Saccharomyces cerevisiae S288C: one gene and its partner. Changing the gene in region 1 together with any one later gene gives a genetic interaction. Each region holds a gene or a part of one and is shown on either strand. Other genes may lie near its edges. The genes, in order: YFL041W-A and PRP3.

The links.
Region 2: mutations in YFL041W-A (region 1) and PRP3 together harm fitness more than expected from each alone (negative genetic interaction), as found in Saccharomyces cerevisiae (one large-scale study listed by BioGRID).

The regions. Positions count from the first base shown.
Region 1 is NC_001138.5:46,896-49,507, forward strand, and holds YFL041W-A (uncharacterized protein), read left to right. Parts: upstream 1-1,838; coding exon 1,839-2,030; downstream 2,031-2,612. Other genes in the region: LAM5 (Lam5p), read right to left, coding at 1-849; ferroxidase FET5, read left to right, coding at 2,244-2,612.
Region 2 is NC_001136.10:1,403,945-1,407,744, reverse strand, and holds PRP3 (U4/U6-U5 snRNP complex subunit PRP3), read left to right. Parts: upstream 1-1,890; coding exon 1,891-3,300; downstream 3,301-3,800. Other genes in the region: JIP4 (Jip4p), read left to right, coding at 1-281; TRAPP subunit TRS31, read right to left, coding at 3,572-3,800.

The DNA of each region.
Region 1 (2,612 bases):
AGTTTTGCCCATCTTTGTTTCGATGGATATTGCGCTGGGGAACAACCCAGCAGCAGAAGTTTTTTCCATAAACGTGACATCTTCGAACGCAATCAGTACTTTAGCAATCCAACCAAGAACATTGGAGTTGAAGCAGAGATGCGTTTCTGTTATGTATAGTTTCCCCTGGTAAAGCAGCTCTCTATTCAGCCCACAATTAAAATCATCCAGTAGTCTGTCATCTTTAGGAACGGACTTGAATGTCTCATGAAAGTCTTTATTTCTTTGCTCAGACGCATAGTGATAAGGTGTGTCCATGTAACGTTCTTCCACGAATCGTCTATGATCGTAATTGTCTTCTTTCATTTGGGAAGGAGTGAGTCTTGTCTTGACCTCATCAGGCTTTTCCACCTGTTGCAAGGGAGAGCCTATTTCAGCAATTGTGGCATTACTGATACGGCGGCTTGATCTTCTTTTGGACCCCATGGAAGGCTCCCTTCTATGTGATATAATGCTTGGTTGCGAAACTGGCGAAGTTGGCGTAGTTGATCTAGAAACTGGGGATGGCACGTTTGACTTAAACGAAGAGATCATTCCACTGAAGAACGAGGACGTCGAAGAAGTCCTTGATTGATCGTGCTTGATCTCTGTAGGGTGTTCATCGGCGGCACTTTGGTTTGTAATCACTACTAAATTCTTGCGTACGTCGTTGGTCTCTGTATTTAGGGGCACTTCTTGCAGTGACTCAGCTTCAGTATCGCCGGCATTGTCATTGTTACTTGCATGCTCAAAGGGGGGACCCAATTGTTTCACAGAATCAGTACTGTCCTCATTATCTGATACGGGTTCCCAGTTATCTACATCCGACATCACCACTAATCTTTTTGTGTAGTTGCCTTCTTCACCCTTTTCTCAGATAGCGAAATGGTTGAGTGTTTTAATATAATTGTCAAGATGCTTTATGAAAAAGGGTGGGAGAAACAAGTCCCCCTGCTCAGCGATACGCGATCTCTCTGATCTCAGACATAAAGCAAACATTCTATCATGAGTGACATTGAGGATGACGGTAATTGGTAATATCTGACCTTCTGACCTCCACTCAACACAATGCAGAAAGCTATCAAATGTTTTGAACCAAACATGAAAGAGATTCAGAAAGTTGCCAAGCCAACGTGATGTCACAGGTCAAAGTTTAAGTGAAGGCTATTGGAATCTGCGGATCAGACATTCACTACTACACGGATGGCCAGGTCAGCGTAAAGTAACCTGGGAAGCCCATGACTTTGGGCCACGAATCCAACGGTGCTGTTCTTGAAATTGAAGTATCTCAAACTACTGTAAAGCGGGTGATGCAGTAAGCATATAGCCCTCATACCCAAATAGGTTTACCAAAGAGTTTCTGTGAGGCCATTATAGTTTGCAGCTCAACATACCATTTGCTGCATCACTGACCGTGACGGCACCCTTTGTCAAGAGTTCGTGGTTAACGTCGACTGCGTTTACTGATTACCGTTACAGTGAATTTCTAGCAAGAGTCCTCTGTAGATGCCACTATTTGTCGCTCTCCATGTAGTAAGGCCGTCCTAGCTGAAGTGTGGGGAGTAAGCTGTAGTTATAGGTGCTGGAACAATTGATCTGCTGGCGGGTGCGGTACTCAGAGGGTTTGGTGTTCATGAGTACACATGATTCCAAGAAAGAGCAAAATGGACAGTTTATAAACGCTATGAAGAACTGCTATAATCAGAAAAAAAGGAAGCCTGATGGATTCGAGTCCTCAGGTACTCAAAAGAGCGTTGAGAATATGCTAAAATGTGTCAAGAACGGTGGAACAGTTAAGTAGGTTGATATCCACCCCTCGAATGAAAATGTGGGGACCCTCCCAACGAGATTCCTTCAGAGAGATTACATATAAAGTGAAATTCAAGTATGACGATGGTGACTACTCCTTGGCCATTGATTTGATGTCTAGGGATTGTATTAATGTCTATGAGTTGATTACCGATAGGCTACTGGTTGATTTCCTTTCAAAAAAGCTGCTCAAGCTAAGATAGGTAAGGTGTTTATAGAATTTATCGAACTGTATCTAAATATTTTTAATATTCTTGTTTTATTACTTTGTGGCTTTTGTATTCAGTCTGCACCCTGTTTCGCCATCGATTCTTATAATACATACATTTTTATATAAGATCACAGAAAATACGAAGACGTAAAAAAAGAGTTCCGAATGAAAGAAGAAAGAATCAAGCACAGGAAGACAAGAAACGATGTTGTTCTACTCGTTCGTGTGGTCTGTACTGGCCGCTAGTGTTGCTTTGGCAAAGACACATAAGTTAAACTATACCGCTTCTTGGGTAACTGCCAATCCTGATGGATTGCATGAAAAAAGGATGATTGGTTTTAATGGCGAATGGCCACTTCCAGATATCCATGTTGAAAAAGGAGATCGTGTTGAGCTTTATTTGACTAACGGCTTTCAAGACAATACTGCTACTTCTCTACATTTCCATGGTCTTTTCCAGAATACGAGTTTGGGGAACCAGCTTCAAATGGATGGTCCTTCTATGGTGACACAATGTCCCATCGTTCCGGGACAAACATACCTGTACAACTTCACTGTCCCAGAGCAGGTAGGA
Region 2 (3,800 bases), on another chromosome or scaffold:
CTTCAAAGTCATATAGTGTGAGTTCTGGTAATAAGGATTCATCTTTGAGGAAAGTCAGTAGCTCATCTTCGCTCAGAAAAGTAAAATCTAATGATTCGAACTCTGGTAAACGTATTAAAAAACCGGTCGTAACTTCAGCACACTTGAAACCAAGCTCAGGCGGTGGTGGTTTATTCTCTTTTTTTAAGAGTAAATCGAGATCCCCGTCATCTTTCAGAAAGGAAGATGAGAGTAAAAATACGCCTAAGCGTGGCGGATTGTTTGGGTTCGGAAGGCTGTAGTTGGTCTTACGTTCTTATGTGTTTATTCGATATAATTCTATAACATTTTTATGACTTTGTGCCTTTATGCATAACATGTATTGTACATATTAATCGACAAAAATGACATTCAATACCCTACACTAGTAATTAATAATGCTGCAATTCCATCATCGCATTCTCACCTAAAAGAAATGTGGACAGTGTTCATTATAAGCTGGGTTCCTATTCGTATTTCCGGCAATAATGCGTGCTAAGTGAGTTTGTAAAATCGTTAAAATGAGAATCAATGTACAAGGTTAGTATCACGTCAATTCTTTCAAAGCTTTATATTATTAGGTATACCTCCTTTGAAAGTAGCACCAGTCAAGATAATGGATCTTTATCCATAGTTATTGCAATTACTTTCAAAGCAATGCGGTTGTTATTGTTGCAAAAATATTGCAATATTAACTTCTTAGGAATGGTGAATTGAATTGTGTCGTAACATACGCTGTAACCCTTGTCTTTTGGGTTTAGAATGCGGAAATGAAAAACGTATAGAACATGATGAATCTACGAAGTGCAAGGTCCACGAAACAAGACAGTATCGTTGCAATTCAGTGAAATCCTTAAAATGGTTCAAATATAGATACTGGCTATCTTTTTCATTATATTGGCTTCTTTGACCTGTCACAATTATAGGGTTCAACAGTTATCTTTGGAGGAAGAAGCTGCTCATTGATGAGAAACAGGATTTATGGAAGAGAAGTCACATTCGTGAAAGGCACATTCATCAAGAAATTTTATTTTTTCTTTTGTGCTTCCCAAATTTACTGCCATACTACTCCATTTTTTGACAGCTTATTCATTTAAGAATACGACCTAACAATAGTATTCCGGAACTTTTTAACAATATCAATGACGACTAAGAGAAAATGACAACTGCAGGGAACAGATTTTAGATTTGAAAAAGCCATGACATGATACTACTATGTTCTAGATGTGTTTTATCTCCTTTTCGGTAGCATTTTTTTGGTAATTATCTAGTACGAGAGGTGACAAAATCTGTTGTTCTCCTTTAGGTTGTCGTAGTCAACTTTTTTTGTAGGAAAATTCTTGCAAGTACCCTGAAGTTATGTATGATGCAAGTCTATTGATTGTAATCAATAAGTTTTTCTAGCTCTGGCTTGCTATGTAACGTAGTGAACAATCAATGTTATCGAAAAAGTTTAGGTAAAATTCTCGAAAATGAATGCTGATAATTACTTTTTCTTCACTCCCCAATTTTGGATAATACTTGGCAGCTATATTCGCGAAACAGGAAGGTTAAAAACTGCTTCTCCAATGAAACAGTAGTTAACATATCCATTTAGCTAGAGATACTGCTTTTGGCCTCTGGACAGGCACTGTGAATTGTTCTTATATGTTCTAAAGTAAAGAGCCATGACTCAAAGAAAGTTTCTTGACTATGTTAATTTTTTTAGCATACAAATTTTAATATTATTCACATCTGCGTTTTTCTGACTGGATCCCGCACTGATCAATAACAAGAAATAGTCCTAGTAAAGTATTAGAATGCCAGATGACGTAAAACAATCAAAAAGACTCACAGAAAACATCAGGCGATCTATTGAATTGGCTTGAAAAAATGCCCCCAAGAAATACCTATGAAAAAGGTAATCCGAAACGCCAAAATAGTCCATATTATAAGCCAAGTTTCTTACGGCGTGAAGAAACTACCAATGATGAGGAGAAGTTTCAGGGCCATGGTCTGAAAACCGAACTTCACTCAGCGTTAAAGTCTTCAAATTTGAATCTTATCCGAAGAACTTATCAAACTGGTGAAAATCCCTATCTTAGTGATCCACACGATCGAGGCTCATCGAGCAGATTTAACAGGCGTTATGAACGGGGTCTGAAGTTTTACCAAAAGGGAGAAATCAGTAAAAGAATTGCCCAAGAAAGAACATTACAAAAACAGCAGGAGGAGGAAGAATTAAAAAGAAAGTTAAAACAAGAAGAAGACGAGAAAGATAAAAGAAAATTAATTGAGTCAGGTGATTTACCCAATTTAGAGTTACATGAGGATAAGTTCCTATTAGATTTGTCAAAGTTCAAGATATACTATGATAATAATCATGGCTATGAATGGTGGGACACGGCTTATTTAGATGAAAAGGGTGAGTTGATGGAAAAATATGACATGAATGGCACATCGCCTGCCGAAGAAAAGCTAGCAGAAGATATTGATGAAGTAGACGATGATGATGATGATGAGCACCCATCTATAAGATATGTAGCACATCCCTTACCTGAAAAGATCAACGAGGCAAAAGTATCAATCAAAGCATATCTAACGCAACATGAAAGGAAAAGATTAAGGAGAAATAGAAGGAAAATGGCAAGAGAAGCACGGGAGATAAAAATTAAGTTAGGACTATTACCTAAGCCTGAACCGAAAGTTAAACTAAGCAACATGATGAGTGTTTTCGAGAATGATCAAAACATAACGGACCCAACTGCCTGGGAAAAAGTAGTGAAAGACCAAGTGGACCTCAGGAAGAGAAAACATCTGGAAGAAAACGAAAGAAGACATGAAGATGCTATTAAAAGAAGGAAAGAAGCAGTCAATATGAACGTTGAAAAGCCGACAGTATACCATTGTAAGGTGTTCCAGTTCAAAAACTTACAGAACCCAAAAATAAGATTCAAGTTGAAAATGAATAGTAAAGAACTATCACTAAAGGGTTTATGCCTCCGTATACGTGATGACGGACCAGGAATAATTATAGTCGTGGGTAACGAAAAATCATGCAAATTTTATGAGAATTTGGTGATGAAGAGGATAAAATGGAATGAAGATTTTGAGTTGCACACAAACACTGGGGATATAAAAATGGACATGCATAATAATTCAATATCAAAAACTTGGGAAGGCTATTTACAAGATTGTAAATTCAAAGGCTGGTTTATGAAAGTATGCAATGATCAGGATTCTTTATTACGTACGCTGGGTCAGTTTGATTCAGAGCATTTTTATTCACCTGTTCAAACGTGATATCGGTGTCTACAAAATGATACGCTTTGTTTCATATTAAATATTATTTTACTGTATGTCGCCCAGAATAATGATTTTTTTAGCACAAAAACATTCCAAAATATAAAAAGAAAATGATTTTATATGATAGATGTACTTCAAGGAAATCGACAATTAAAAGAATCATTCTTCGTAATGAATATATGAGCATATGTCTATAAATCAACAGTAAATATACAAACTCTTTATCCTTTTCTTGGTTTTAGGTATTTACCGATGTTTTGAGATGATATCAGCCAAATCTCAAACCTTCCCTGTCAAGCACTTGCCTGTCAAATTGGATCAAATAAACGGTTCGTTGACTATGTCCGCCTTGGGGCATTCGATGTGCTGTCACGCCACATGGAAATCCAGCATTGAAAAGGAATCCTTTGATAATGCCGCAAACGAAGTACTCACAAGAAACGTTCTCACCTGGGATAAATTGGGTTAAAGTGGGGAAGTTATCTACTATCATATAT